4 linked regions of the Caenorhabditis elegans genome follow. The protein of the gene in region 1 interacts with the protein of each later gene in a pairwise test. Each region holds a gene or a part of one and is shown in the gene's direction. Other genes may lie near its edges. The genes, in order: prx-13, abi-1, athp-1 and Y79H2A.3.

Region 1 (7,698 bases):
TGAAGTTAAAAATCTTAAAATAACAGTTTTAAGATAAACTTTTTACATAACAATTTTTTAACTGAAATTATAAATTTTGAAAAATAGGAAGGTTTACGAAATTAAATCTTCGAGAGTTTTATGAAAAACTCAAAAAGTGAGAGAACCAAGATTTAATACATATATGCCTACGCCTGCCTATTGACTATTATCTGAATTTTTGCGTAGCCGCAGACATTTCTATTTATAATATTTTTCAAAACTAACATCCAATGCATTTGTTCTTGAATGAAATTCCCTTTTCCTTCCAGAACCTTCTCCTCTTGCTTCAGCCAACTCGTCGTCCATAATTTGAAATCTGAAAGCAGAGCATCTATCAAAAGTGACGTTTACAATTGTTCTATCGTAACGAAGAGATCACCTGCGATGCGGATTGGTGACAGCAACAGCGGTGAGACCGTCACTAGCAACGTTTGTTACGAGAAATGAACCTCGGCGGGGTTTTTCTAAAATTCGAAAAGAGGAATATAACGTTTAAAAATTAATTTTGTATTATTTTTGAAAGATGACTTCAGCTTTTGGAAAATATGATACTTCCTACTGGGTAATTAATGTAAAGGAATTGATTACTTACATTTTCCATTTTATCAGTATTTTTAAATATTTTTTTAAATTTGGTATTATTCAGGCTGAAAATGTTTCGATTTTGTGCCAAAAATACGGTGCCCGGTCTCGCAACGACAATTTTCTGTTAAATGCGAGAAGGTGTGCGCCTTTGAAGTATACTGTAATTACAAACTCTCTTTGCTGAGGATCTTTTTCGCTTTTCATGATTTGTCTCTCGATATCTTGAAATCGTTGATTCTTATTGTTATATTTGAATTTTAAATTTGTATTCTTATCGAAAAAGTCTGAAAAAATTAAATTCTGCAAAAAGAAAGGTTAAAAATTACAGTACTCTTTAAAGACGCGTGCCTGTTTTCATTTTAAAAAAAGTTGTCGTGTCGAGACCGGGCACCGTATTTTTTTGCCCAAAAACCGCCAAATTTCGCGTTAGCGTAATAAGTTTTTGTTCGAAATGAAGCTTTTCTAAAATTACAAAGAAATGAAGAGATTTTTATGCACAACAAACCGAAAAAGTCTGCAACACAATTTCCAATAATATCAGGTGAAGTCATGATTTTTGAGAGGAGTAAATACGAAATTAAGTGTCAAATGTTGTTTCAGATGAAGACAAGTTACTTTTCCAATGAAAACTACTAAATATCTTGTCATCTCATCAATTTCAGATGACTCCGCCCACTTTTCTCATGTTTCTATTTTTAGAAAACTTTAAGATTGATTCAGATTTCCTTGAAAACAAAAGCGACGTGGTAAATTGTGTGAAAAAAGAAAAATTGGTTAATAGTAAAGAGAAAATTGGGGGCAAAACGAGAGAGGTGAGAGAGAGACCCGACTGCCATCTTCCGAGTGTCCTTGCGAAACGGAGACTGTCCTGTCTCTGCGTCTCGTTGTAAAAGGAGCAAACAATTTGTATATTGTATTTTTACAATGTCTCCATTCTGTGACTCAGTTTTTGTGCTCCTAGGAGATGACGAGTTTTTGTTTGAGTAAACAAGTGAACAGTCTGATAAGGTTGAGAAGACATGTATTAGGACCAAATGAAATTATGAAAAAAAAAACATAATACAGATTTTTGACGGTGGAGTAATTGTATAATTGTACAGAGCTTGTAATGAGTTAGAGAATCAAGGGATGGAAATGAATTAGAAAGTGAAAATAAATATGACAAACAGAGACGGGGAAAATTAATAATAATATGTTATAAATAGGTAATCGAATACGAGATAAAATTACTCCCATCCTTCAGTGTGCCACTTTTTAAACTTGCTCCATTCGGTAGCAATCTTTTTCTTCTGTTCACAATCGATTTTTCTCATCTTTTTCTTCGATTTGCGTTCAACTGGAGCATTCTTGAGAGTGGTCTCGCCTGAAAAATAAAATAATAATAAGAATTTCAAACGGTATTTATGAATTTTCAATAGGACAAAGTTGTCATGTTTTTTTCTAAAGAAAATTGTTCATTTTAAATTGATTTTAATATAAATAAAAATTTTAATACCGTTTTTCTGAAGATCCTGAAGTACTTCGATCCGTTCCACTACATTATCGATACGTTCAATGGATGCTCGTAGGCTACGATACTCGTCTCTAGTCAGGAATTGTTGAGTCATTGCCAATAGCTTCTCCTTTTCAGTACGTGAATCCATTATCTCCTGCTGGCTCACTGGACGTTTGGCTGCTGCGTAGCATGCTTCTTGGTAGAATTTCATGAATTCATTTATCTTGTCATGTTCAAGCACAGTATTTCGTTTAGCCTTCCGAATTCCGAGTAGACGAACGTAATGTCTCAAACGGGCGAACTTAATATCATTTTCCATATCGAGTCTCTGATCTTTCTGAGGTTCCGTAGCAGATATTGTGAGGCGACTGATAAGTTGTTCAGCTTCATTGAACCATTCACACTCCAATTCTTCACGTTCGTTATTGTATCCAAGAATTTTCAACTCATCACTTCTTCTCATTTTTGGACGAGTTTCCGACTTTGATACACCACTTTCATGAAGTAGACGAGGATATGCACTTCTGAGCTCTTTAACTTCTTCTAAAGAACAAATTGCGCCGAGAGTTTCTAACTTTTTTTCTCCTTGTTTCTGCTCACGGTTCATCTTTTTACGGAATTCATGCAATCTTCTATCTTTTTTCGAAACCCACATCCTCCTTCGCTTTCGTCTCTTTGAGCTCGAAGCTGTTCCTCTCTTTGGTTTTTTCTCTTCTTCTTCATCTTCTGTATCAAATTCCTGTGCAGTCTCAAAAGCGCTTGGAGGATCTTCTTCTTCTGTTTCGCGTTCCATGCCGTGGTAGGTGTCTTTATCAGAAGCTTGACTTTTCTGGAAAAAATACACATAAAACTGAATTTAGTTATTTTCCTTAAACTCACATCATCGTCCGAATCACTGCTTGATTCTCTCATAACTCGAGTAGTTTTTCTTCTCTTTGGACTCGGAGGCCCCTTTTTCCGACAACTGGAAGACGGGCCCGGCGAATTGTCATTATCACTATCATCAGTATTTATTTCCTGTTTTACTGATCGCTTCGATTTCATATCTCTTTCATTATCAGGATCACAGTCATCTGGGCTAAGCTCCGTCTCATATTGATTTGTAAGGAATTTTGGGCGCTCATACTTGGTTTCAATGTCACCATCGATTACTCTGAAGAAATTCTAAATATATGAAAAATAGGACATTTTCACTTACTTTTGCACATACTGCTCTAATACTTGTTGCACTTTTATCGCAAGTTTCGGATCGTTTTCATCCCAGCTTTCTCCAGATGCACGAACGGCGTCTCGAATCAGAAGCATTCTTTCCGTTGATTCCAAACAGTTTTTTTGTAGCACACTGTCTAATGTTTGATTTATATACATCCCATATTTAATTCGATCCCAACTTGAACTTTTTATGGAAAATTGTCCAATCCATCCACGCACGAAATGTTTTTCAAAGTAATCCTTGCAATTATGACCATCTTTTCTTCCGCGACCAATACTTTCAGCTATTTCTCCCCAATTTCCCATCTTGAATTTATGAGCAGCTTTTAACAATTCGAATTCATCTTCGTGTGTCCAGCTCATTGCTTCGGGATTACTTGTTGGCTTGACAAGCTCGTAATTGTGACCTCGGCGATGTGGTGGTGATTCCGCGCCGCATTGGAAACACTGAAATTTTAAAAATAAAATAATGTTCTTAAAAACTTCACAATCTGTCAACTCACGAGGATACAAATTCGCAGAGGACATTCAAAGCATTTGACATGAATGGTTTGGTCGACTCGTAATGTGCAGTTGAAGCATACCGGATGTTCTCCGGTATCATCAGCCATTGAACCTATAAATATTAAAATTCCTCAAATCATGTTTTAAAATAAAACTAATAATCTTGAGATGAAAACAAAGAAAAATCGATTGCAGAGGTGAACCCTGTTTTCAAATGATCATCCACCAACGACCCTCCGAAATGACGCATGGTCGCCTTGTTTAACGTAAATATTGTGTGCATTAAAATCTTTTTTTATCGGAATTTTTTGTTTCGAATTGTCTTTTCGCCGTAATTTCAGTTTAAAATCTTAATTTATTCTTTGCAGATTGTCTCACTTTAAGTTTTACTAGTGAAAAACAATCACAACCCCACTAAATCAATATAGTCATGGTGGTAAGTCGAATTAAGCTGAACTCAAATAGTGTATGATTTCAGTTGCCACTTTCTCTTCTCAAAACCGCTCAAAACCACCCGATGCTTGTGGAGTTGAAGAACGGCGAGACTTATAACGGTCACCTGAAAGCCTGCGATTCGTGGATGAATATTCATTTGGTGGATGTTATTTTCACATCAAAAGTAAGTGTTTCGTTTAATTAAATGGTTAGCCCAGGAGAAACTGGCTATTCAGAAATTTCTTTTCGTTATTATTGAAAAAAAACATAATTTTGTTTTAAACGGCTCACAGATTCTAATTTAGAAAGAACCTTTCATATTTAATTTGCATTCATATGTCAGCTCAATATTTCAAACATCTAAAACTCTCGGATTGATGCAAATTTGCGACTAACAATACATGTTAAATTACAGGACGGTGACAAGTTCTTCAAAATGTCAGAAGCGTATGTCCGGGGATCTACTATCAAGTATCTCAGAATTCCAGAAACAGTAAGTACCTGATTTTCTCTTCGACAACATAACATTTCCCATTCTTCCAGGTGGTCGATCTCGTGAAAACTGAAGTCAACGAAGTTCGTCGTCAACAGCAGCGCGAGCAATCCCGTGGTCGTGGTGGTGGACGAGGAGGACGTGGAGGACACCGCGGAGGTGGTGGAAACCGAGGCGGACGCGGAGGAGCTCGATAATTCCTGCAGTGCTTCGATTGCTGATAACAATTTCTCGTTTACTCTAAATAATTTATGTATTTGAAATTATTTTTTTACCCAAAAACCAAACCTTCCTCCGTCTCTTCTGATCTTCCCCAAGTCGGGTTGTTTCACATGTTTTGAAATTTTATTACAATAAATTGAATTATACTTCAACAATATCTTAAGATCTTTCATCTGTCCTCCCACTCTTTTACTAGACTACAATGTAGTCTAGTATGGGACGTTGTCCTTATCAACCGCCCGCTGCAGTCATTGATTGTAGTCCACAATGTGACTAACGGCAATTTCATAGTTGCCATTTCTTTTATTTTTTCTTGAATTTAATCCATTTTTCAAAATCGAATAACGACATTCCATTTATTATTACAGATAAATTATAATGTCCGCACCTCCAACAAATCAACCACCTCCGCTGCCGCCAAGGTCATTTGATGTAATTATTGATAAATTGTTTTGAAACTCCTACTAATCGATAATATTTAAGAATCAAATGTCGAATCCAATGATCAATACAGGTTTTGGTTATGGTGGAGGATATGGAATGAATACGTTTCCAGGGTCTGGAATGTAAGTTTTATTTTTTAAATATTTTTTTTTTTTTTGAATGCTCTTTCGTAAATGCTAAAATGTCTGCGCCTTTAAAGAGTACTGTAGTTTCAAACTTTCGTCGCTGCCTTATTTTCATGGATTTTTCGTAGTTTTTCCGATAAATTAATTTTAAATTCAAGTATACTAATAAAAAAGAGAGAAGAAGCATGAAAAAACGATGAAAGTCCCTCAGCAACGAGAGTTTGCTGTTACAGTACTATTTAAAGGCGCACACCTTTTCATATTTAAGAAAAATGTGTCGTTTCGAGACCGGGTACCGTATCCTTGACGCAAAATCGTAAAATATCATGTCTGGGTAATTTACCGAATAAAGTCAGTACCGAAATGATAGAGAATGGGTTACTGTATAACTCAAAGGGGCCTACGTTTCGCGCAGCCTCGATTTGAAAATATTTTGTATTAATAAAATTGTATATTGTTTAGGTATGGTGGTGGGGGAATGTATGGAGGAGGAATGGGTTACGGTGGATTTGGTGGTGGCTTCAACCATATGGGATATGGTCAAGGACCTGACAGCAATTTTGCTCGACTTGCAGAAGAACAGTCTCGAGGCGCTTTTCAATCAATCGAATCAGTTGTAAATGCAGTCTCATCTGTCGCCAACATGCTCAATTCAACTCATAATGCAGTTTATAGTTCTTTTCGAGCAGTTATTGGAGTTGTAGAGCAATTTGGAAGATTAAAGACGCAGGTGAGTTTTTTATTGAAAAAAACAAATCTGATAATAATTATTCTATTGTTCCAGTTGTCATCAGTAGTTGTTTCTTTGGCAGTTTTCCGATGGGTATATCGTTTCTGGAGATGGCTACTGGTTATGTTGAAATTGAAACCAGCAAGTTATGCAAGCGCTGCTGAAATGGCTTGGGGAACATCACAACCGTATGGTAAGTGTTCAAATTTTGTTTAGAATTGAGAAATATAGTTTGAATATCTAAAATTAGGAATAATACGATAAATAATGATTCTGACTACATTTTCGAAATAATCTATATTCTTTTGGTTTATTTCTTGTACCATAATTTTCCAAAATCGTAATTTTCCTTCCAGCCACAGACGTTCTTGGTGCCACAAGAACTCCAGCAAGTGTCAACTGGCCTGCTGCTCTCTTCTGGGTTGTTGCAATTGGAGGACCATGGCTCATCTATAGATGTGTCAGTCAGATGGTACAAGCTGCTGAAGAGAAGAGAAAATGGGCAACTGGAGCCGCTCCACATTATACTGCTCAAGCACTTTTCGACTTTCAAGCCTCAAATGAGCAAGAGCTTAGCTTCATGAATGGAGAAACGTTAAGAGTGGCTCCAAAAGAAGAACAACCCAGAGTTAGAGGATGGCTTTTAGCAAGGTAGCATCAAAAAGCTCTCTGATTAGATATTTATTAATTCTTCATATTTTAGTGTTGCCGATGGAAGTCGTATTGGACTTGTTCCAATTAACTACGTCAGAATTGTCGGAAAACAATCACAATCTCCTCCACTTACTCAACAGAGCAATTTAGACACATTTGTTAACGCTTTTCCAGCAAGAGATTTGAATTCAAATATTCAATAATTCCTATTCATTATTTCTTTTCGTGTTTTTTAAAACGGGTAGTTCGAATTTCATAAACGTTTTATTTCGCACTATAATCATGAAACAATTCCAGAGAGAATGAAATTATAACCTAGTAATTAATTGAGAGAGAGAGAATTTGAAGTGAGCTTTTCTGCCCATACCCCGCATTTGTGACAAAAGGAATGTGAAAAATAGAACAAACATATTGAATTAAAAGTATAAATGTGCTGTCATTTTTTGTCGTTTAAAAGTCTCGCCACTGATTGAGGTCCATCGACGGAATCTGACTACATGGAACCATATGGCCCACTCGGAATGCTTCTCGTGGAATTGTCTGAAAATGTTTAGTAGTTCAAATTGAGCTTAGAGGCTGAATTTAATGTTTCTTACTGATATTGTGTTTGTGTTATCGCAAATAATTCTGCTCAGAGAGCTCTTGCGAATCTCGACAAGTTGACGGCGAGAGAACACTCCCGGATTTTCGTAATAGAATCTGAAAAGTGATATATTTTACTGAGTTTTTAAAATTTCAAATAGATACAAACCTGTCTCCATCTCGTGTTCTTTTGAAT
Region 2 (8,290 bases), on another chromosome or scaffold:
AGCTCGATTGACTCTCTTGGATGGTCCCTGGGCGCTCAATGTCTGCAGAAGGCTTGTTTGACGACCATCACAGGCGACCACTTTCAGTCTGAAATATTAATAATTATAGATCATCGAGAAACAAAAATTTTTATAGAAAATTAATAAACAATTGCTTTTTTCTAGATTTTTTATTTTTAATACAAATAAAAGAAACACTCACTTATCAATAGGCTCATCAAACGATCGCTGGGGATCTTTCAACGTGACATTATTGAGAATAAACGTCCAAACGTTATCACAATATCGATAAGTGAGCAGTTGTGTCGCACAAAAATTCATTTTCTCTTTTGGAAGCCGCGAGATTTGCTTGTTCATGCTTTTATCAAATTGTTGCAGAACTTTCGAAGCAAGAGATTTCGTGAGAAGTCCTTCGGATTCCATGTCCTCAAGAGTTTTATCGAGTGCCTGACCCAGTGTGGTCCCTCGGTAAAGAGCGTATGACGACATTTCTGGAAGATTCTGAAATATCGTTGGATTAAATTTTTCTCGAGAAGATGCCAGATATATTTTCAGATTATCAACCGAGAAACTATGGATTAGTATGACAAAAAAGAACAAAAACAAACAATATCTTTAGTTTTTAATGAACATCGAGATTGAATTTTTCACAAAGACATGTATAAAACAGTTCAAAATAGATAATACCAGTACAAGAAAAAGGGGAACATACATAAGAGGTTAAAATTGATAAAACGATAAGGCATTTAATCCTTGATTTGGCCCGGAAAATAAGGATTAATATTGACAACAGGGCCCGGGGCTTCCGTCACTGTGTACATCTCCTCGACGCGTATCACCATTTCTTTTCGATTTTGACGACATCCGATGAGACATTTGCGAGCTGAAAAATGCATTTTTCTTTGTTTAAAGAATTTTTAGAACAAATATTTTTAGTTAATGAATATCATCTCTTACATTTGCACTGCTTACATGGCCAATGGCACCCATCACACTCCACCACGAGACAATCACAAAGATCGAAAAACAAAGTCTGTCCTTTTGCGGTAACCGAAAGTTTTCCTGTTTTGTCATGATGCAAAGGTTCGTCTCTCAGATCCGCCTGCTTCTCCGCGGCTACACGTTTCGAGCGGTTGGTGCTAATAATATCCACAGAGTCGGGCAAAAATCGAGACATTTCATCTCCTGGATTCGCGAACTGGAGGCCTTGAAGCTCTCGGTGTGCCATTCTCGTTCGACGGCTCGTTCCTGAACTTTCCTTTCGAGATGATGGCTGCAACTTCTGGGAACTTTGTTAAAATTTTCTTTATTCAAAAGCGTACCTTTGTTTCGAAATCGTCAAAAAGCTCCGCATCGACTTCATCGCAAATCTCGGAATCTTGTTGCATTTCACTATCCGTCGAGAAATCATTTTCAAGCTGAAAAAAATACAAAAATTAAATACATTAAAATTTCAAATTTCAAACCTCTGCTGCAGCTTTCGCCAGACCGGCAATTTGTGCGAGAACGTCATTGGAGCTCATTTTTAGAATTATTGGTTCAGAAATTTAGTAGGAAATATGATTTATATCGATTTAATTTGAATATATCCGAGGAAATTCTATTATTCGATATGCTCTCCTCGCGGGAAATAACATGTGCGTACCACTTGCGAAAAAGCGCGCCGCGCGTTGCATTCTGTGACCACGCCCTCATTAATTTCTTATTCATTCAGTTCCTTTGAGTGTTTTTCATGAAATTTCTGCTGTCAATTTATTATTTTTAAAATATTTTTCTAAACGTTAGTTAACTTTTAGTTTGTTACAGATGCTACATAATGGGGAAGGCGGAATGAGTGTTAATGATCTTCAAGAGCTCATCGAGCGACGGATACCCGATAATCGAGCTCAACTGGAAACGAGTCATGCGAATCTTCAACAAGTTGCCGCGTATTGTGAGGATAATTATATACAATCAAACGTGTGGTTTAATTTTTTCTTTTAAGTTTATGAATTAAACGTTTTCAGAATAAATCTGCTGCGCTAGAGGAATCCAAGAAATTCGCGATCCAGGCACTCGCCAGCGTAGCCTACCAGATTAACAAGATGGTTACGTAAGTATTTCAATTAATTTGTTTTAATTATGAATCTTTTTTTCAGAGATTTACACGATATGCTTGCTCTACAAACCGATAAAGTGAACTCTTTAACAAATCAAGTTCAATATGTTAGCCAAGTAGTTGATGTACATAAAGAGAAGCTTGCAAGACGAGAAATTGGTTCTCTCACAACCAATAAAACATTATTCAAGCAACCCAAAATCATTGCACCAGCAATCCCAGATGAAAAGCAGAGATATCAACGAACGCCCATCGATTTTTCTGTTCTTGACGGAATAGGGCATGGTGTCAGAACATCGGATCCACCGAGAGCAGCACCAATCTCAAGAGCAACTTCATCAATTTCTGGCAGTTCTCCATCACAATTTCACAATGAATCTCCAGCGTATGGAGTTTATGCTGGTGAACGAACGGCTACGTTAGGAAGAACAATGAGACCGTATGCTCCATCAATTGCTCCATCGGATTATCGGTTGCCACAGGTGAACATTTGAAATATTCATAGAGGCTGAAAATAATTTGCTTTTCGTGTTTTTGACAAAACGTTTTCAAAAAAAAAAGGGAGCGAAAAATTCTGACATAACTTATACATTTTAAATTTTAAACTTTTTTTTCTGAAAAATACACTCAATATTGAAAAAAAAGTGAACCATTGATAAATTTATTCAAAAAACGGTTTTTTTGACCCAAAACGACCGCATTTCATAATGAGACTTCTGAAAATATCGAAAAAAAATTTAGAGCGAGCCTGAATAAGAATCTGAAATCCTTGTTACAGCAGTTAGATACAGTATTTATTGAATAATCACATAATTAATTTTGAAATTTTTTAGAAGTCTTTTTATGAAATTCAATGTTTCAGGCTAGTTTTTGTCGACTTCAGACTAAACAACTAATTTTTAAAAAATCAGCTCATTTCCTTTTCAAAAAATTAATCAAGTTTTTTCTAACATAATCCGATTACTTTTTACAGGTCACACCACAATCAGAATCACGAATCGGCCGTCAAATGAGCCACGGATCAGAGTTCGGAGATCATATGAGCGGTGGTGGTGGAAGCGGAAGTCAACACGGATCATCAGACTATAATTCCATTTATCAACCTGATCGTTACGGAACTATTCGAGCTGGTGGTCGGACTACAGTGGATGGTAGCTTTTCTATTCCCAGACTATCATCTGCACAAAGTAGTGCTGGAGGTCCAGAATCACCAACATTCCCACTTCCACCACCAGCTATGAATTATACTGGATATGTTGCACCGGGAAGTGTGGTACAACAACAACAACAACAACAAATGCAACAACAAAATTATGGAACTATTCGAAAATCAACGGTGAACCGACATGATCTTCCACCTCCACCAAATTCTTTGCTCACTGGAATGTCAAGTCGAATGCCAACACAAGATGATATGGATGATCTACCACCTCCACCAGAATCAGTTGGTGGGTCATCAGCGTATGGAGTGTTTGCTGGTAGAACAGAATCGTACAGTTCGAGTCAGCCACCAAGTCTCTTTGATACGAGTGCTGGATGGATGCCCAACGAGTATTTGGAAAAAGGTATTTTTGGAGATTTTAATTTGATTGAAAAATTGTCGGAAAAAAATTCTCTAAGCTTTTCTGTATTATTTTACGATTTAGAAAATTGGCTAAAATTGTTAGTGAAAAATTTATTATAAAAACCGAAAAAAGTTTAAAAAAATTAAATTTAATAAAAATTTAAAAAAGAGAAAAAAACAAAAAATTTTGTGATATTGGAAAGTGATTTTGAAAAATTCAAATATCTCCAAATTTTTTTTTTTTGAGAATTTTCAAATTTTGAAAATTATAAGCTTTGATTTTTTAAAAAGTTATCTTTTTAGCTTTTATTTTCGAAAAAAACGAAAAATAAATTTCCTTTAAAAACATCGGAGTATCAAAAAAATCCAAAAAGAATCGAAATCTTAAGTTGTAAAATGCGATTTTTTGCAGAATTTTTAATGTTACAAAGCAATTATATTTGTCAATTTAAACATTTTCGAAAAAAACCAATCTTTTTTTTCAGTACGGGTCCTGTACGACTATGATGCTGCAAAAGAAGACGAGTTGACACTTCGCGAGAACGCAATTGTCTACGTACTGAAAAAGAACGATGACGACTGGTATGAAGGTGTCTTGGATGGAGTCACTGGGCTTTTCCCTGGAAACTACGTAGTTCCAGTATGATAACAAGAAATGCTAACCCTGCTAAATCAATTGCTTTTAATCTCACTTTTATTCATATTCATATATTGCCTTTTGCCTCGAGTACTTGTATGTGAAAAGCCAAAAATAAACGATGGATATGTAATCATGAAGGAAGCAGTGGTCCCCTCGTTTGCAGCAGTGAGAAGCCTAAAAATAGCCAATACGACTGCTATTTTCGAGTCTCGACGCATTTCCTGAACGCATGTGCTCGTTCTCTCACTGCCCCCGTACTACTCTCTTTTGGTTTTCCTAGGGGCTCGCCTATTTAATGAGATTGCTCATTTTCTCTTCATGCACACACATTCATTCATTTTCTTATATTTTTGTGCCTTCTTATTTCTTTTCCTCTCCTCTCTAGTTTATTTTTTCTTCTATTTTAGAATTTTAAATAATTCATGTTCGGCACGACGAATAGTGACGCCAAAGAGTTTGCAAGGCGTGGGAATTGTATCTTTTTTGGTGGGCGGTGGACACAGATTTTCTTAGAGGAGGAACAAAGGTCAAAAATACAAGCAGAATTCTTGAACAGTTGAAATTCCCGCGCGATTTCCAATAAGATGACTTGGATCGCGGTGGGACCTTAACTATTGCACAGACGCAAAATTTTGTCATTTTTGCGCCAAAATACGGTACTCGGTCTCGACACGACAATTTTTTATTGGATAAAAACGGATGTGCACCTTTAAAGAGTTCAGTACTTTCAAAAATTTGTTGCTGCATGCTGCATGAAAACTCCATGAAAATTTAAAAGCAACGGAAGTTTGAAACTACAGTACTCGTTAAAGGCGCACATCCCTTTTTATTTAGCAAAAAAGTGTCGTGTCGAGACCGCATACCGTATTTTTTTATCTTTTAACTTTAAAATATGAAACTCTGCAGAGTACTCTGCTCATAAAAAGAAACAAAAATTCGCTTTAATTGGAAAATTCGAGAAACATTTCAGTCAGAAAAACAAAACATTGTTTTTTTTTTCGAAAAACACGAGACCTCAATTAAGAAAAGTCGGTTTGTTGTTTTGTTGGTGCTCTTAAACTGCGGTTAATCTTCCATTCAAAAGCATCTAATACAAAAAGTACCAGTAATTATATTTAAATCGGTTCAAATACCTCATGGGACAAATTTGAATTGGCATATTTATTTTTTGATAAACATTTTTTTTCCGACCTTAACTCTTGTATAACAATGAAATCTAATCTTGTTGCTATTAAACACAATTTCTGACGAAAAACTACGGAACCTGGTCTCGACGCGACCGGAAATTTCAGGCATAGAAGAGTGTGTACCTTTAAAGATTACCGTAGTTTCTCAGTTTTTTTTTGCAATTTTTATCCACCCCTTTTTAAAGCTGTTTTTCGAAAAACTAATTTTTCGAAAAGAAAAAATATCGATGATAATTGAACACAATTGCGTAAAACAGAATTTCGCAACTACAGTACTCTTTAAAGGCGCACTCTCTTTTGCGAAACTCTCGGTCGCGTCGAGACCGGGTACCGTTATTTTTTTTGTATTTTCTTGCAACTTGGTAATAATTGCAATCTGAATTGCAAAGAAATTTTGGTGCTCCATACGCGCATTTCAGTATTTTCAATTTTCAAAAGTTCCCTTATTTTTAAACCAAAGCACATTTCATTTCAGTGTTCTTGTGGCTCTTTTTTCTCTATTTTCTATCTTTTCAGAGTGTCCTGTGTCCCTTCTCCCCTCCCCTACCAGGGCGTGACGTCGGTACGCTCCTCTTCTTACGTCTTTCCATATCTCTGTACTCTCTGTACTCTCTCTATCTCTCTCACACACACAACAGAAAGAGCTCACCAACTTGTCTATTCTCTATTTACATATTTCGTCAATCTTTTTCTCTCTTCACAGGGGCGGCTACCGATCCGTTCTTTCGCAAAAAACCCTCGGAAATAGTAAACCCCAGAGTCATCATTGATAGTTATAAATAGACATCTTTATGTGAACTCACCTGTTTTTATTTTATTTTATTTATTGCAAAATCCATTTATCTGGAATGTTCTTTAACAAGAGTTCAAGCATCTTCCTTATTTTTATTTGAAAACCTTCAAGTTGCTTTACTCTTTTTGTTTTCGTTGTTTCAGTGATCGAAAATCAGTTTTAAAGGCTCATTTAAAAAATCTATGGCCGATTTTCTTTCAATATGCCAAAAAAAATTAGTGGCCGAACTTTCTGCTTTTTAGGCCACGTTGCATAAACGAGAACGGTACCTCAATTTATCCCTTGATTTTCAAGTTTTTTGCCAAAAAAAGAAATTAATGAAAAATATTGGTAATAACGGAGAAAAATCACTAAAAGACAGATTATTTAGTATTTAAAAAAATTGGTGGCCGATTGTTCTCTTTTTCTAGGCCACGTCGCAAGTAGCCTTTTTTTCAGAAATATTCAACAATAATTCAACATTCATATTTTCAAGACTATTTCAATAATCTGAATCGAGCAATTTTCCTATTAATAATAATAAAATCTTCAATTCCAGACCGGCCCAAATTTCAAAGAATCCCCACAAATTGAGTTATTCAAAAAAAATCGTTCTGGCGAAAATCTCCTGTTTCTTGGATTTAGTTTTTTATTCTTCCTTTCTGGAAATCCGTTTCTAAGAAAATGAAAATTCGATTTAAAAAAGAATTTAAAGCATTTTGATTTCATTTTCAAAACCTTTTAGACTTTTAGATTCACTAAAAAGTTGACAACTAGCAAAATAAAAACAAATTTAATTCTGAGGAATATGCTCTCAGAAACATGATAAATTGTCAACTAACCAGATATTGCAAAAGATCAGATCAAAATCACACAGTTTAAAATTCACCACCAATTTTCCTTATCAATCACAATTTTTATCAATTCATTTTCACCAAAAAAGTCTGACATTTTTGTAGAATTTTTCCGTTTTTCCGTGTTAACAAGATCAACTTCACTGACACCAATAAATTCCGGTAAATGATCAAAAATTAGCGCTGAGAATCAAGAAAATTTTAATCGTATTGTAAATTTGAGTACCTACGACAATGACTGAGTATTTACGTCAAAATGTGAACAAACTAGACTGCCTGTAAACATTTCTCTGTCTGTGTGCTTTTTGATACAGATACTTTATTTTTCAGTTTTGGTGTTGATTTATGAGATTAATAGATGATACTGTATGGATTTTTCTGTTAAAAATTTTTAGATCAAAGTTGCAACTTTTTTTTCCAAATAAAACTGTTATTACGTTCTTTAATTTCCCGGAATAAATGAAAATTCCAACATTTGCATATTTTTATCAAAATTTTGTGGATAATTTTTTATCCGAAGAAAAAACAATTTCCAAAAAAGAGGAAACGCCAACAAAATGGATAGGTTTTATTTTATAAAAATTGAAAGACCACACCGGCAATATCGCCGACATTTATTTCTATAAAAGAATTTTTAAAGTTTTAAAATGTCTTGTTTTCCGGCTGTTGGTGTTGCCCTCCAGCTGTCCAATGCTCATTGAGTTTTTTCTTGGCTCCACGAGCTCAAAGATGAGCTTCAGAGTTCTTCATCGGAATGTGTTTTTTTTTTGCCTGGCGTTTTCTAAGAGCTTCTTTACCAAACCAATACTATGATCCTTTTTATTTCATTTTTGTGTTTGTGTTGACACTTTCGAACAAACCCCCCCCCCCCTTTCCCAATGGTATTTGGGAGAAAAAAGAACCGATTGAAAAAAAAAGTGAACTGCGTCATGAGGTTATGAGTACCTCCTCTTCTTCAACGCCCTTTGTTTCTCCCATCCTTTTGCTCTTTGTGAATTTTTTTCCCCTAAAAATATGTATTGTGTAAAAACTTTTCTTGAGGGAAATCCCTTCACCTATGTATCTTAATTCATACAGAGAATAGCTTTTAAAATGATCTTCGTGTTCTGTCTTGAACTTTTAGTCTCTAGTAACAATTTATCAAAACTTTGACTGCAATTTTTGAAATCAAAACA
Region 3 (8,193 bases), on another chromosome or scaffold:
TTTTTTGACAGAAAATCAATAAAATCGAAAAAAAAAGTTAAAATAAACCGAAAAAAATAAATTTTCTTTCAGGACAAGGACAAATGCTACGTGAAGCGAGGCGAGAAACGAATTCACACATCCCGCTCGGGTATGGTGATCTCCGACGGCACCTGTACAATTTCCATGGACCAATTCGGCTGCATTCTTTCATGTTCATAAGTAACTCCCCGTCTGTTTTATTCCTAATATTTTTATTGTTTTATTATTTCCCAAGTTCCCCCCCCCCCCCCCCCCAGTATTATTAATTCCCTTAAGTTCTCCATTGAGACTCCAGCATACACCTAACTTTTATCCCATTATTCCTCGAATCATTGGGCCAAGAAAACCGCTACTGAGCCGGTAATTTATTTATTACATAAATCATAAAAAATAAAAATTTTAGTTTAATTTACGATGAACATACATCAAATGAGCAGTATTATATCACAAGAAGAATACAAATTAGAGATCTGATTAAATTTTGTGGCAAAAAAAATTAGAATTTTATGAAAACTGTTGGGAGAAATTTTAAAAAATTAAAAAATTATTATAGTGACGCATTTCCGGAATCACTTGATTCGTCGTCCTCCCGATGTGTAACTTTATAGACACATGTCGTCTCTCTTGGTGGATTATATGTTGAATCAATATTAAATGGTTGGAATGATGACCATGGTTCACATCCGTATTCTGTCCAACGTTCTGATGATGATTTTGTGGTGAAGAGGCCCGTGTCGCTACTGAAAATTGATTTTTTTCGATTTTTGAATCTAAATATGTGAATTTCCTTACCTCCTCCCGCCAAGTACAGTACTATTTGCCTGTGGCAATGGCATATCAAAGAACTCAGGCTTCTTTCGATCACTAATATACACACAGAGGAGTACGGTAGTCGATGTGAGAGCCAGCAAAGAGAAAAACGCAAGAATGAGCATTCCGATGAGCAATGAGGTGTTGTTCGAAGTTCCGAAAAATGGAGAAAACGTGGTGGATGGTGGTGCTGGGGTTACTGTAGTTGTAGTAGTTGTTTGTGAATCATCTACACACCATGGGCATACTGTATTGGATGCTTGAACTTTGACGGTTGACATGAAGCATTGACCTTGGATCTGGAAATTTTGGGGATTTTGGAACAAAATTAGACTTAAAATTCAATTTTTAATGGGGTTTTTAGCAAGAAGGTTCGAAATAAAATAAAAATATTCAATTAAATATCAAAATCTTGTTTTTCTATTCGAATTTTTGTGAATTTTGCAAAAAAAAGGCGGAAAAACCGTGCCATTATTTTTTTGGAATATTTTGAAATATTTCATTTTTTCAGCTAAAATCTGATTTTTTCGCTAGCTTCGAATTTTTTATAAGAATTTTTTTATTCTAGCTTTTTTTTCGATTCGAAAACTAGGTTTTTAATTAAAATTCACAACAAAATCCGCCGAATTTTTCCGAATTTTTTGCCTGAAAAATCTGAAATTTAGATCAATTTTCTAACCTGCAGTGTTCTTTCCAAAAACTCTGGCGTTTCCCCAGTAGAATTCTGGAAAACCCGAATATATCCAGATCGATCACAAGTTCTAGCCAATCCATATACAGGATCCACTGAAACAAATTGAATAGATACCATCCAATCATTTAATCGTCCTTTTGGCCAATGGGTTACTGTAGGTCGAGCGATTCCATTTATATACTCGAAACTTGATGAACGACGTTCGTGGTGGGGAAGGATTCGTTCGTCGAGCTGGAAAATACTGAATTAATTTTTTTTCAAAGTGATCTACTAAACCGCGCTCCTTTAATGGCCCGAAACTACCAAAAATTCTGCTAAAATTTGAAATTTTGGAATTTGTTTTCGAAACTTTTTTACCATTGTATTGGGCTTTTTTTGGGTCGCAGTGAAGAAGTAAAATTTTGAATTTTCAAAGAAAAAAACCAAAAATCGAGTAATTTTATGGCAAAGATGTATATTTTGCGATAGATTTTTCGGGGAAAAATGGTGTTTTAAAACATATTTTTGACGCGAAGTTCAAGGAAAATTGACTTTTTCGGCAAAATTGGTTGTAAAAACTCTGAAATTAGCGCGAAAATTAACCAATTATGTTTTTTTCCAAAACTTTTGGACTATTTTTCAAGGAATCTTATAAATTTCCAAAACTCACAGTCATATAGCTCATAGTTGCACATCCACTAGTCTCTGTACCCCATGAGGTCTCATCAATTGGACATGGTTTCCGTTCCACAGAGAGAACATTCACGTGGAGCCACATTTCAGAGATGACCGGGCTCACGGAGCACACCAATAATAGTAGAATTCCATAGAAGATGGGCGACGACATTTTAGTGTAGAGTGTGTGTCTGAAAGAAGGATTTTTTGTTGAAAATCAGGAAAAAAAACGGAAAAAAATTAAAAATTATTTTAAAAAAGTTGCAAATAAATCAAAAACTGCCATTTTTTCAATTTTTCGGAGAGAAAATCGAGAAAATGCAACTTTTTCTGCAGAAAAATATTCAAAAATTCAAAATTTTTCCAATTTTTCGGTGTTTTAGAGAAAATTTCAATTTTTACTTCGGAAAAAAATTTTTTCTGCAACTCGAGGAAATCGTTTTTTTAATACGACCAGAAAGGAATTTTAGGAAAATTGGAAAATTCTGAAGCTTTCAGAAAATTGAAAATTGCCAATTTTTTGAAGAGAAAAGCTAAAAAATTAAGATTTTCCCCAAAAAAATATAGGTTTTTTCGAATTTTTAAAAAAATTTCAATTCAGAACCAAACATTTTCGGTGATTTTTCAATAATTATTTTTCGAAATTTGGAAAAATCCAAAAAAAAGTGTGAATTTCAGTGAGAAAAAAAAAGCTAATTTCTGCAGAAAACAGTGAAAATTTGAGAATTCTAGGAAATATCGAAATAAAAAAAAGAATGTCGATTTTATCGGATAAAATAATACATCGACATACTTTGAGAGACTGGAATAAGAATAACACAATGACTGACTAATTGGATGCATGGTCAGGTAGAAGGAGGAAGGGGGTGTCACCTAATTATAGGCGGAGCTGGAATTACAGAGCGTCTCGAGAGATGGTTATCTTGTCGAAGGACGGGATTAGCACCTTTTACAACGTGTAGATGTCTATTGAAAGAACAAAGGATTTGATTTGTGATGGGCTGAAGATTAAGATGTTTATTGCCTTGTTTTGGAGCTTTATCTGGGCAAAAGATAAGATTTTTTTATACAAAATTCGAATTTTTGACGAAAAACGTAATAAATAATTGGATTATAGAGGATTATAGACCCAAAATGTGCTCGAAATCTGAAATTTTGTCCATTTGTCTGAGTTGCAGTAGTTGATGGAAGGTATACCTATTATAATTTGGTAGATGCACAAAAGTTGGCAGGTGTGTGGTGCACACATATCGACCGTAAATGTACCAAAAAAACACAAAAAGTATGCAAAAACAGCTACTTCACTGACAAGTAAACAAAATTTAAGATTTTAGGTTATTTTTTGCGATTTTGATTCTATTTTCAATTGAGGAGCAGTAAATAGCGGTTCTGGGTACTAAAAATGTGCTTATTTTTGTTTATTTTCCGCTTGAATTCATTTTTTCAACCCAGAGGTACCACACAACATCATCTCACTACATTTTTTGTGATATATCAAATATAATATGATTTTAAAAAAATTGAAAATACTTTTAATGGAAAATCTGACAGAAACCAAGATAAAAAACTACAAAAAACTGGGAAGAACTGGGAAAAAATTTTTTAAAAAAGTTTTCTAAAATTAAAACTACAGTACACTTTGTTCAAGGCGCATGTGCCGTTTATAACATCGTGGCGAGACCCTCGCCGAAACTCTGTCCATGCTGCTTATGATTACTGTAGTTTATTTATTGTTTAATTTTCTTAAATCTTTTATTTGTTCAATTTCCTCGTTTTCCTTCGCTTTTGTTCCAATTTTCTGTTGAAAAAAGTATATTCATAACAAAAATTATTTCTTTCTTTCCAAACAAGCCAAAAACAAGGCCATAAACCGGAAATAGCCGACAAAAGAAGTGGAGATGAGTTTTAGGGTTCGAATAGGACTGCCGATGGTTTACAATGCCGATTGTGACTGTGGAGATGGCTGTAAAGGTGCGAATAGTGATTCTTTTCAAGTTAGCCGCTGGAAATTTCTCTGAAAATCTGAAATTTTACCTGAAATCTGAAATTAAATTCAAAGAAATGCGTGAAATTATAAATTTTTATGAATTTTCTTCAATTTCCCCTAAGAAATCAAGATTTTATCCGTAATTTCCGAAATTATAGGAAAAAACCTAATTTTTTTCGGCTTGACGCAACTGCGCTCCATTGCGAATTACGAAGAAATAGTATGTGAATCGAGGAGGGCACAGACAGCTAGACATCATGCTTCTCATGAAAATTCATTCGAATTTCTGCGATTTCTATGACGATTTTTCATTTTTTCTTTGATATTTTAATTTAAAATGCATTTAAAAAATCATTTCTCATTGATTTTCTTAGTTTTCAGAAAATATCAATGCAGAAAAAAGAGAAAGAAGGCCGAAGAAAGCTGAAATACGACTCAAACGACGGTCTTCTGCCGGTAAAATTGGCAAATTTTCACTTTTTCGCCTCAAATTCCAAATTTTTGTAGGAAATTCGCCGAGTTTGCGGTTTTCCACACCACATTTCCGAAGAATTGTCGGCGAGAGGGTCTGGAAAGAAGAAAAAGCAAGTGGAGGAAGAATGGAAATGGCCTGAAGCTCAAATATGCGGAATTTGCTCTGTAAATACATTGATTATTTGGAAAAATATTGGAAAAAACTAATTTTTCCCTGAAAAAGGCAGAAAAATTGCAAAAAATCATCAAATCTTTGAAAATTTCGATTCAGAACTGGAGTTTAAAGTAAAAAAACCAGATAATGCTGAAATTATTTGATTTTTTAAAAAAGTTTTTAGTCCAAAAGAGCTGCAAAATTCGAATTTTTGATGATTTTAGCATTTTCAGAATAAAAATTCCCTTTTAAAAATTTATTATAGGCCTAGGTTCAGGCTTGGGCTTAGGCTTGGGCTTGAGCTAAAGCTTAGGCCTAGGCTTATGCCTTTAGGCTTAAGCTTAGGCTAAGGCTTATGCGTAGGCTTGGGCTTAGGCTTGAGCTAAAGCATAGGCCTAGGCTTAGGCTTAGGCCTAGGTTCAGGCTTGGGCTTAGGCGTAGGCTTAGGCTCATTATATTATTTTTGCAAAATTGGAAAAAAAAATCCCAAATTTTAGAAAAATCTCTCCACTGAATTCATAAATTTTCAATAAAAAAATGCCCAGATTTCCAAATAATTTTCCATGTTTTTTTGCAGTCCGGCGGTAACATTCTATGCTGTGAACAGTGTCCAGCATCCTTTCATCTTGCTTGTATTGGATACGAATCATCCGATCTTCCAGACGACAATTTTTACTGTAATCGATGTAGAAATCTTCCGGAAAACGTTCGGCTCTTTCCACCGGAAAAGTGCTCGCCGTCTGTAAATCCAGTGCTCCGAGTTGAAAATGAAAATCACCGAAATTGGGAAGCTATTGAATATCATTGTAATCGACTTAGAGATGAGGAACAGGCCGAGAAAATGAAAAAAGATGTTGCTTATGGGCCAAAAAGTGAATTTGCAGAAATTCAAGACTGTTTTCGGGATAAAAATCTACTGAAAGCACTTGGAATGGCTAATCCCATGGATGTAAGGGAGTTTTTTCAAAAAAATGAATTAATGCTTCAATTGAAAAATTAATGAAAATCGAAAATTCTGGATTTTTTAAAATTTAATTTTTTTTTTTAATTTTCGATAAAAATAGTTTTAAAAAATGCGAAATTTTATTAGCAGAAAATATTTAAAACACTTTTTCTCCCGAAAAACGTTGAAATTTTCGGCGTTCGATCCGATTTTCGGGAAAAAAGTGAAAAAAAAATTAGAAAAATCGGGATTTTTAACACTGTAGGATAGGATAGAAACAGAAAAAAACACAATTTATTTGCAGAAAAATGTACAAATATTTTTGAGTATTTTCGACCTTTTTTCCTGAAAATTATCGTTCTTGAGACCATTTTTCCGATAAAAATATTAAAAATAACGCTTTTTTAATTCTTGTTTCGAGTTTTTGTGAAAATTCTTTATTTCTGTGTCCTTCAAAAATTTCCAATTTTACAATAATTTTCTCGAGAAACCTAGATATTATTCCAAACATTTATAAATAATTTTTCCAACATTTTTCAGTATACAATACCACCGGAATTCCAAGCAGATCGTGATTGTTTCTCTGGTGATGCAATGGAAGACAAGAGGCCAACTATAATGGGAGAAGTGTGTGCTGAGTGCAATTTGTACGTTTTCGTAGCAAAAATGGACCTAAAGTGCCAAAAAAAAGAGGAGTTTCCTACCAGAAAGTATTGAAATTGAGCGATTTTCTCTCGAAAAATATCCGAAATTTTTCTTCAAAAAAAATCATTTTCGATTCTTAAAATGATCTCAAAATCTGAACTTTTAGATTTTTTTCTGAAAAACACGATAGAAAAATCAAAAAGAAAAATCAAAAATCAAAAAATTTCGTTTTTCGATTTTCCGATTTTCCAAAAATTAGCTTCACATTTTGGACATTATTCTTATTTTTAGAAGAAATTTGGATTTTTTTCTTACAAATATAAGCAAAATTAAATAAAAAATCGAATTTTATGGTTAATTTTCTGAACATTTTTTTCAATTTTTCGATGTTTCGATTTTCACTGAAAAACATCGAAAAATCGAAAAATGGCACCCTTGATCCCTTCTTGAAACTCCAATTATTATTTTTTTTGCAGAAAAGACGACTGGACACGAATGCTAAAATGTGACTTTTGTGATCTAATTTGGCATCAAAAATGTGTTTTTTTTCTGGAAAAAAAGTTTTAGCTAATTCAAAAAGTCAAGATTTTAAAATCTTAATTTTTTTTTGAAAATCAAAAAATCACCTGAAAAAGACAGAAATTACCTATTGAAGAAAAATAACATATAGTTTTCGAATATTATGTGATTTTCAATTGTTAAGAAAAATTCAATATTTTTTCTGAAAAATTCTGAAAAAAGTAAATTTTAATTTAAAAAAAAAATTTTCTGTAAATTTTCTGAAATAAATTTTGTAGTTGAGGAAAAATTTCAAAAATGTTCCGAAAAATTTTCTTAAAAATTTCAAAAAACTTTCGGAAAAACTTCAAATCAACTAGTTGATAGAATGAGAAAACTTAGAAATTTGTAAATTCCCTTAAAAATGCAGAAAATAAGCAAAGGTAGGCAGGCATCAGGCCCTGAAACCGCGCCTGCCTACCATATAATTTAAAACTCCAATTATTTTTTGCAGAAAAGACGACTGGACACGAATGCTAAAATGTGACTTTTGTGACCTGATATGGCATCAAAAATGTGTAACACCTCCACTTATTCATGTTCGTGCATATTTCTATTGGATGTGTCCAAGACATCCAGAAACTGTCATTGATAGTGTTTTAATTGGTGATGAGATTTCACGAGAAGATCGTCGACGGCTTTATGATAAATATGCTGATGTTGAGCCGAGCTACGAGATTTTTGAGGAATTTTGTATTAAAACTGAACAATTTCGAATGAAATCGGAGGTTTTTGGTGAGGTTTTGCTTACTGAAAATCTTTTTTAAAAAACTTGAAATTTCTAGAAATATTAAAAAAATTTTCTAATGTTTTGGATTTCTTCAAAAATCGTTTTTTTTTTAATTTTTAAAAAAATAGAAAAATGCTAAAAACTGGGAAACTTTTAGATTTTTCCCAGGAAAAATGCCAAAAATCAGAAATTTTCAAATTTGTTTCTGAAAAATGCAAAAAACTTTGAGGTTTTCAATTTTTTCCAAAAAAAAATCTCCGAAATTCCGAAATATTTAGATTTTTACATAAAAAACAGAAAAATCTTTAAAATTTTCAATTTTTTCAAAAAAATGCTAAAAAACTCGGAAAATTTTAATTTAAAAAAATATGAAAAATTCCGAAATATTTAGATTTTTCTAAATAGTTACAGAAAAAATCAATTTTTTCTAATGTTTTGGATTTCTTCAAAAACAGAAATTTCAAAATTTGTTCCTGAAAAATGCAAAAAACTCTGAGATTTTCAATTTTTTTCAGAACATTTT
Region 4 (8,319 bases), on another chromosome or scaffold:
TATTTCGGTCATTTGAACCGTCATTAAAATTTTTTCAATAATTTTTGAGAAATTTAATTTCGAAATTCGTTAATTTGAGCGCATTTTGGTGTCTATGCATTTTTTTTTTCGAAAAAAATATCGATTTTTTCCTCTATTTCCAGGACAGCCAAAAAGTTCAAAACTTGCTGACCATTCATCTGCCGTTCACAACAGTCGAATGGATTACTGAGAACAGTGTTGTCACGGCTGTAAGTTTCACGAAATTTTGCAGATAAAGCAGCGTCGCCGCACAGAAAAAGAGGCGGAGCGTAATTTCGCAACCCTGCGGCGCGCGGTTTTTTGTTGATTTTTTTCCACACAAAAATTCAATTTTACTTGTTTTTTTAATCTTTTTTCGAATATAAATAAACTTGTGAAGATGTTTTGGTTGTAAAAACATTTAAAAAAAAGGTTGCACACCCCGCCCATTTTTCTATGCGGCACTGATTTTTTTTTAAGTTTACAAATCGATTTATCTGCTTTTCTATAGGGTCACGACTGCTCGCCGGTGCTCTTTGTAGTGTCTCAAGATGTTTTGAAAGAAGTTTGCAAATTGGATGTCCCATCAGCGGCCAAGTCATCGACGGTTAACAGTGCTCTTCAGCTGTTCAAAAATATCGATCGGTGAATAAATATCATCAAAAATAAAGTATTTTAATTCCTCCAATTTTTATAGAAATAATGCTGCGGAAAAGATTAACGTCGCCTTGAAGACACTCCATCAAAATCGAATTACGTGAGTTTTGTGAAAAACGCCAATTTTTTGCAGTTTTGCGTTAAATATTCCCAGATTTTTTAATGAAAAATGCATAAAATAACCCCGAAATCGTAGGATTTTTGGAATCTCAAAAAATTCGGACAAAAAATTCATCAAAAATAAAACTGTTCAAAATCGGAAAAAATTTCGCAGAAACGAAGCCGATTTACCGATTTGCCGGAAATTTTCAATTCCGGCAATTTGTAGATTAGTCGGAAATTTTCAATTCCGGCAATTTTCTGATTTGCCGGAAATTTTCAATTCTGACAATTTTTCGGTATGCCGATTTGTCGGAAATGTTTAATTCTGGCAAATTGCCGATTTGCCGGAAATTTTCAATTCCGGCAATTTACCGATTTGCCGGAAATTCTCAATTCCGGCAATTTGTAGATTAGTCGGAAATTTTGAATTACTGCAATTTACCGATTTGCCGGAAATTTTCAATTCCGGCAATTTGTAGATTAGTCGGAAATTTTCAATTCCGGCAATTTCCTGATTTGCCGGAAATTTTCAATTCTGACAATTCACCGATTTGCCGGATATGTTCAATTCTGGCAAATTGCCGATTTTTCGGAAATTTTAAATTCCGGCAAATTTCCGATTTGCCGATTTGCCGGAAATTTTCAATTAAAATTTGTAACTACAGTACTAACAACATTTCGTCGTTTCGAGACCGGTTACCGTATTTCAGAGAAAATCGAAAAAATTTAATTAACGAAATTTCCTTTCCAAATCAAATTAAAAAAATTTTTTTGAAAAAAAAAAATTTTGTTCGGTTTTTGTACACGAGCTCGTAAATCTACCGAACAAAAAAAAAACAGAAATTCCAAAAAAAAAAATAATTTTTTCAGTCAAATCCTACCTCACTCTGGAACCGTCGGAAATGTTGTGAAATTCACAACATGTGGAACTGACGGAATTGTTGCACTTTGGGATTTGAAGGTTTGTGATTTAATTTAATTTTTTTTTTTGATTTTTAAGTCATTTCTCGGCAATTAAAATAGTTTTAAAAAAAGTTCAGGAAACGATAGAATTTTGTCGGGTAAGTTGTTGCAAGGTTTGAAGGATGAATTTTCAATTTTCAAATAATATCCTAATTCTGAGAGTGAAAAAACCCGTTGAAATTGGAGTTTTATTATTAACAAAAAGAAGTGCGCATGGGTCTTTAAATAACATTTTTCATCGAATTTTTAATCCGGGAGTGCCGAATATTTCGAATATTTATGTTTAGAAAATTCCTGACATTCTATTTCAGCGGAAAATCGCGAAAATACGATGATCTTCGAACTCGCGCCAGAGACATTCTCATTGGAGCGCGCCGTGTCTTGTGTGGATTTACGAGCCAATTTCAACTTTTTCTGGTTTTTTTTGTGTTGAAAATTCATTTTTTCGTGTCATTGAACATTTTATTATCATAAAATTTCCCTATTTTCAATAAAATCGATAATTTGTCGATTTTTTGATTTTCCAGAAAATTTAAAAATCGAATTTAAATAGTATTATTTTTTGAAATTCGATTTTTAAATTTTCTGGAAAATCAAAAAATCGACAAATTATCGATTTTATTCAAAATAGGGGAATTTTATGATAATAAAATGTTCAATGACACGAAAAAATGAATTTTCAGCACAAAAAAACCAGAAAAAGCTGAAATTGACTCGTAAATCGACACAAGACACGGCGCGCTCCAATGAGAATGTCTCTGGCGCGAGTTTGAAAATCGTTGTTTTTTTTCGAATTTTTTCTAATAGATATTCGATTTTCTATTTACACTCTGCCTTTAAATAATTTTTCAAAAAATTTTAATTTTCAGAATCACCCATCACTCGTCTAAACCGCCGTCAAGTCTTCCTCAATCAATTTACCAACCAAAAAAAAAAATTATCACCAATTATATTGCTCCATCTCGAATTCCCCAGCTATTTATGTGATTTTTTTGTTTATTTTTTCAGTGTACATTTAAAAAAATTCTTCCCCCCGTTTATCTCGATTTTTTATCACGACCCATTGAAGATTTGCTTTAACCTGAATCCTTTATTCTTCTGAATATTTTTTTTTTCTACATTTTTATATTCATTAATGCAGCAATTTTGTTTTCCCCGGCAATTTTCGACATATTTCGATATTTCTTATTTTGCGTTATTTCTTCGCATTTCGTATCTTTTTTTTCCCCGAAGATTTTTTTTTTCGTTTTCCTAATTCTTATTCCTAATTAATAATTTAGATCTCGAAAAATGGAAGAAGACGATAGCGAAATTTGGACTAGCGATGGCTATTGCATCGCTTGTCGATCGATTTTTGCAAGCGAAAAGGAGAAATTGGAGCATCGTGCTAGCAAGAGACATGTGAAGGTATTTTTTTGAGAATTTCCTTTTTTTTTTTGGGGAAAAAAATTCATTTGTTACCTTTAGAAGTGGAATTTGCACAAGTTTTTCCGGGATGAATCCACCATTCATGGAACTATGGCGGTATCGGAGATGCTTGAAAGATATAAGCTGAAGAAGATTCCCATCATTGGTGAGTACGGGATATTCTGGATAATTTATAATATCATTTTTGGAAAATTAGGCCTCCACCAATGCCAGGAAATTCAACAAGTCGGAGTTTCGAATCAAGAAAAAACGAATTTCTGGACGTGTGCTACTTGCTACGAAGTTGGAGACACTTATGAGTTGGCGGATGCTCATCTCAATTCAATGGATCATATTCGGAATTATATGGTAATGTGCAGGAATGATTTTGAACGTATAGACTCAAAATGTGCTCAAAAGAACAAATTTCGTAACGAAATTGCTCAAAAATTGTTCAAAAAAGTTTTATGGCGGTTCAAAATTAGCTAAAAATCTCGAATTTTGGCCTCTTTTCAGTGTCACAGCGGCTCGAAGTTGACTTTTTTATTGCATATTTTGGTAGCTTATCTCATTCAGTTTCATTTATTAAAGTATATATTCTATCGGCATTAAATGTACTTTAATAAACGAAGTTGAATGAGATAAACTAAAGATGATAATTCCAAAAAAAGTTAACTTCAGACTTCTGTAACACTGAAAAGTGGACAAAATTCGAGATTTTTAGCTAATTTTGAACCGCCAGAAAAAATTTTTGAACAATTTTTGAGAAGTTTTGTTACGAAATTCGTTTATTTGAGCTCATTTTGGGTCTATATGTTCAAAATCGAGAGCGGGGTTTCTGCATAAAAGAGAGAAAATACCTTTTTTTTTAAATATTAATTTTTTACAATTTTCCATTATTTCAACACGATTTTTGAGTTTTCCCATCAATTCAGGACGAATGTGAGTGTGACGAGAAGGAGCAGATCGAAGAAGAATGCGAAGATGACGAGTATGCGAAATATGAACGATATCGTTCTGCGGCCGAGCGAATTTTCGCAAGAGACGGTGGAATCGATGGGCTTCAGCCTCCGAGCATCCTACGAATGCCACTCAGCACTGCTGATGGTAAAGCAAAGTTCGGAATCGAAGATCAGGTGGATGTGACGTTTCAGCAGTGTCCGAATGACGCGAATCGCAGTGTTCTGCATTGTAGTGTATGTATTTATTACCGATAACTAATATATTTCAAGAATATTCGATATCATTATTCAGACTTGCAACGAGGTGGCTCCGGTTGTGGTGGCAGGGAAGTACACGAAGGAAAAATCACGTGCTCATCATTGTGAGAGCACAATGCACCAACAACGAGCGGCGGTTTTGTCGGCGATAAATGAATGTTAGAATTTAGAATTACAAAATTTTTAAAATTTGAAAATATTCAAATTTCAAATATTCAAAACCTTTCCAGTTCACCCTCAAGAGATCTTCGATGAATTCAAGACTGGAGAATCTCAAGCACAGCTTCACTGGACGGAGAAGGACGATGATGGCTCGTGGCTCCTGAGCCAGCCATGTGGCTATCGATATCTCATTAATGCTGGTGATGAACGAATTTGCACAATTTGCTACGCACTAGTGAATGGGGATGATCAAGTCCTGGAGCATTTTAGTTCGGAATATCACGCAATGAAATACCTGGTTAGCGAGCGCACTGAGTTGCACAAATTAAATATAATCAAAATTTCCAGAACATGATTCACTCTTACAATTCCTATTTGGCTCAACAACTAGATGGCCCTGAAAGACGAGCGAAAGCACTGAAGATGCTCATATCCACGTTAACACTGGAGAATGACACGAAAAAAGTGGCGCGTACACTGTCTCACTTCCCGAGTCTTATAAAATCCCAGCTATCCGAAGATGTTCGTGTTTATCCGGATCCACCGCTGGAAGTTATCGATGATTTCAAGGAGACAACCGGGAAAATGTTCCGTTTCTGTGTTTCGTGCTGTACTTACATCGAGTTCGACGCCAATCTTGTCGATGAACCACAGAAAATGGCAGCGGCATGGAAGAAGCATGTTTTCAGCGCTCAACATTTTGAAACTGCGGCGATGAGGACTAGAATTGATTTTAGTTAGTACACTCCTATACTACAGTCTCTCCAGGACGATCGCTCCGTTGATTTCACAATGTATTAGGGACGGGGCTTCGACTGCAAGCCTGCCGCGCGGTTCTACTACTCGAGTTTTTAATAATGAAGAAAAACGAAAATTTTTCGAATTGTTAAAAATCAAAAAAAAAAAATTTAAAATATCGAAAAACGAAAAATTTTCGAATTTTCGAATTTAAAAAATCGAAAAAATTTGAAAAACGAAAAAAAAAAATTTTAATTCGAAAAAAGAAAAATTTTCGAATTGTTAAAAATCAAAAAAAAATAAAAAAATCGAAAAACGAAACTTTTTCGAATTTAAAAATTCGAAAAACGAAAAATTTTCGAATTTTCGAATTTAAAAAATCGAAAAAATTTGAAAAACGAAAAAAAAAAATTTAAAATATCGAAAAACGAAAAATTTTCGAATTTTCGAATTTAAAAAATCGAAAAAATTTGAAAAACGAAAAAAAAAAATTTTAATTCGAAAAAAGAAAAATTTTCGAATTGTTAAAAATCAAAAAAAAATAAAAAAATCGAAAAACGAAACTTTTTCGAATTTAAAAATTCGAAAAACGAAAAATTTTCCATTTTTCGCATTATAAAAATCAAAAAAATCGAAAAACGAAAAATTTTCAATTTTTGAATTTAAAAAATCGAAAAAATTTTTTAAAAGTTCGAAAAACGATAATTTAAAAAAAATCGAAAATTTTCAGAAAATTAACCTAAAATATGAGGTTTTTAAAATCTAATTTTGTTTATATTGATGAGAAAAAAAAATTAATTTATTCTAAAAAGAAGAACAAGAACCAAAAATTTAAGATAATTTTTGAAAAACCGACACCCGCTCCGCCCCCGCGACATTGCCAAATTAACGACACGCTCAGGAATCTTCAAACTTATATTGAAAATTGAAAAAAAAAACCTATATTTTGCAGATCCAATGTTCTTTGTTCCGTATTCCCCTACAGTAACCAACGCGGAAACCGACGTTAAAGGAGTTTGGAAAGTTAATAGGGTGCGGTTTTTTTTTTTTGGATTTTTAACAAAATAATAATTCCAATAATCTTGCCTTCCAGGAGGTCCTCGTTCAAACCCAATGCGATGTTGGACTGGAATTTATGGTGGAAGATGAAGCGGCAAATGAGGTGACCTGTCAGTGCTGCTGGCAGGTTTTCTCAAAAAATCCGATTTTTGTGAATCAACACATTCGATCCTATGCTCACCTTAAGCAGTATATTGTTAGTTGACTAATAGTTGACTTAATAGTAGCTTTAATCGTTTCCAGTTCCTCACCGCTCCGGATATTATCAGAATTCTTCTCGGCGCTGAAACAGACGAGAAAAAGCAAGCATTTCTGATGGAATGGCTTCAGAGGCATTCGGGATTGTTTCAGAAGCGAATTCATGTAAAAACTATATTAATTAAGAAATTGAAATATACAATTTATATTTTCAGCTTCACTCTAAACTAAAAACCCTCGAACTTTCCTCATGGGCGCCAGTCTCTCGGCGCCTCGTGCAAACGTCTCTTTTATGCAGAGAATCGTCTGAAAAAGATGTCTATGAGAGTGTTCTGGGTCTTGTAGACAGTGTCGCGTGTGATGGAGGTAGAATTATATTACGGGAACACAGAATTCTGAGAATGCGTATTACACAACATATTTGACGCGCAAACTATAACTATATCTCGTAGCGAAAACTACAGTAATTCTTTAAATGACTACTGTAGCGCTAGCGCTTGTGTGTCGATTTACGGGCTTGATTTTCGGACAAAAAAACAACATTTTCGAATTTTGTAAGCGATATTCTTCAATTTTCTTCGTTTTTTCGTATTCCTTAATCATTTTTGTGCTTTTTTTTAAAATGTTTTATCCATTAATAAATTAATTTGATTGAAAAACGTCTAATATTCGCGTCATTTTGATGAGTAAACTCCTAAGTATATTTATTTTTTTTACATTATTTCCTGCCTATTACGGAAAATATGTCTGTAGGAGTTTGCTCATCAAAATGACGCGAAAATTAGACGTTTTTCAATCAAATTAATTTATTAATGGATAAAACATTAAAAAATAAGCACAAAAATGATTAAGGAATACGAAAAAACGAAGAAAATTGAATATCGCTTACAAAATTCGAAAATTTTGTTTTTTTTTTCCAAAAATCGAGCCCGTAAATCGACACAAGCGCTATCGCTACAGTAGTCATTTATAAAATTACTGTAGTTTTCGCTACGAGATATAGTTATATTTTGCGCGTCAAATATGTTGTGTAATACGCATTCTCAGAATTCTGTGTTCCCGTAATAGCTATCATTATTATGATATTTTTTTTTTGGAAAATAATATTTTCAAGAAAAACTTGGAAAATTTCCAGAGGAATCGATCGAAATGACGGCTCGGGAGGCACTTATTGCAGCCAGAATGTTGATTGTGAATACGTCGAGAAGAAGTGATAATACGCTGGCATCTGTCGTGTGTAGGTGTGAGGTTCGTACCTGATTACCTATTACCTGCATGTCGATTTACGCAGGCCACCGTTAGTGATTCTTAATCGTGGCGAGACCCACGCTGACAAACATTGTGTGCCTTTAAATTGTCGTTGTAATTTTACACAATTTTAAATTCGAAAAGATTTAGCGAAAATGGTCTGAAATTGAAAAATGTATCATGCGAAGTGTAGTTCGGCAAATCGGAAGTTGCCGGTTTGCCTAATTTTCCGGAAATATTCAATTCCGGCAAATTGTCGATTTTTTTGCCGGTTTGCCGAATATCAATTTGCCGGAAGTTTTTGATGTGATTTTTAATAAGACGGAAACACTTAAGACAGTGGTTTTTTTAACCTACTTTTTGCCGATTTTTTTTTGGAAATTGCTGTTTTTCCGGCAATTTGCCAAGTTTGCCGGAAATTTTCAGATCCGGCAATTCGCCGATTTGCTGGGAATTTTAATTTTTGGCCAATAGTAAAGCTTCGAAAATTTTCGGAAATTGCCGGTTTTTCTGCAAACCAGCAATTTGCCAAATTTGCCGGAAATTTTCAGTTCCGGCAATTTGC

Evidence for each region.
Region 2: the proteins of prx-13 (region 1) and abi-1 interact in a two-hybrid assay, tested with the Caenorhabditis elegans proteins (one large-scale study listed by BioGRID).
Region 3: the proteins of prx-13 (region 1) and athp-1 interact in a two-hybrid assay, tested with the Caenorhabditis elegans proteins (one large-scale study listed by BioGRID).
Region 4: the proteins of prx-13 (region 1) and Y79H2A.3 interact in a two-hybrid assay, tested with the Caenorhabditis elegans proteins (one large-scale study listed by BioGRID).

The regions. Positions count from the first base shown.
Region 1 is NC_003280.10:7,249,651-7,257,348, reverse strand, and holds prx-13 (Peroxisomal membrane protein PEX13), read left to right. Parts: upstream 1-5,333; 5' UTR 5,334-5,345; coding exon 5,346-5,399; intron 5,400-5,450; coding exon 5,451-5,533; intron 5,534-5,998; coding exon 5,999-6,266; intron 6,267-6,320; coding exon 6,321-6,459; intron 6,460-6,622; coding exon 6,623-6,917; intron 6,918-6,969; coding exon 6,970-7,123; 3' UTR 7,124-7,198; downstream 7,199-7,698. Other genes in the region: F32A5.8 (DeHydrogenases, Short chain), read right to left, coding at 247-327; ada-2 (SANT domain-containing protein), read right to left, coding at 1,833-1,969, 2,102-2,644, 2,702-2,930, 2,981-3,254, 3,300-3,760, 3,817-3,929, 4,754-4,787; lsm-4 (putative U6 snRNA-associated Sm-like protein LSm4), read left to right, coding at 4,248-4,253, 4,296-4,436, 4,668-4,745, 4,796-4,942; skpo-3 (peroxidase), read right to left, coding at 7,371-7,460, 7,517-7,619, 7,672-7,698. UniProt on the Caenorhabditis elegans protein: Component of the PEX13-PEX14 docking complex, a translocon channel that specifically mediates the import of peroxisomal cargo proteins bound to PEX5/prx-5 receptor.
Region 2 is NC_003281.10:5,686,247-5,694,536, reverse strand, and holds abi-1 (SH3 domain-containing protein), read left to right. Parts: upstream 1-1,806; 5' UTR 1,807-1,830; coding exon 1,831-1,959; intron 1,960-2,006; coding exon 2,007-2,092; intron 2,093-2,138; coding exon 2,139-2,580; intron 2,581-3,071; coding exon 3,072-3,663; intron 3,664-4,147; coding exon 4,148-4,308; 3' UTR 4,309-4,430; downstream 4,431-8,290. Other genes in the region: B0336.13 (Transcription initiation factor IIA small chain homolog), read right to left, coding at 1-88, 203-489; arle-14 (ARF7 effector protein C-terminal domain-containing protein), read right to left, coding at 747-883, 958-1,282, 1,323-1,418, 1,467-1,523.
Region 3 is NC_003281.10:10,877,814-10,886,006, forward strand, and holds the start of athp-1 (PHD-type domain-containing protein), read left to right. Parts: upstream 1-3,952; 5' UTR 3,953-4,150; intron 4,151-4,547; 5' UTR 4,548-4,556; coding exon 4,557-4,622; intron 4,623-4,673; coding exon 4,674-4,805; intron 4,806-5,371; coding exon 5,372-5,743; intron 5,744-6,277; coding exon 6,278-6,384; intron 6,385-7,394; coding exon 7,395-7,675; intron 7,676-8,193. Other genes in the region: C44B9.2 (Lgl_C domain-containing protein), read left to right, coding at 73-201; C44B9.3 (C2 domain-containing protein), read right to left, coding at 569-761, 814-1,130, 1,511-1,756, 2,175-2,282.
Region 4 is NC_003281.10:12,046,987-12,055,305, reverse strand, and holds the start of Y79H2A.3 (C2H2-type domain-containing protein), read left to right. Parts: upstream 1-3,002; 5' UTR 3,003-3,012; coding exon 3,013-3,129; intron 3,130-3,189; coding exon 3,190-3,295; intron 3,296-3,346; coding exon 3,347-3,498; intron 3,499-4,064; coding exon 4,065-4,325; intron 4,326-4,383; coding exon 4,384-4,507; intron 4,508-4,579; coding exon 4,580-4,809; intron 4,810-4,859; coding exon 4,860-5,247; intron 5,248-6,201; coding exon 6,202-6,281; intron 6,282-6,342; coding exon 6,343-6,504; intron 6,505-6,551; coding exon 6,552-6,671; intron 6,672-6,721; coding exon 6,722-6,872; intron 6,873-7,620; coding exon 7,621-7,754; intron 7,755-8,319. Other genes in the region: arx-3 (Actin-related protein 2/3 complex subunit), read left to right, coding at 144-230, 512-645, 698-757, 1,630-1,720, 1,800-1,820, 2,592-2,612.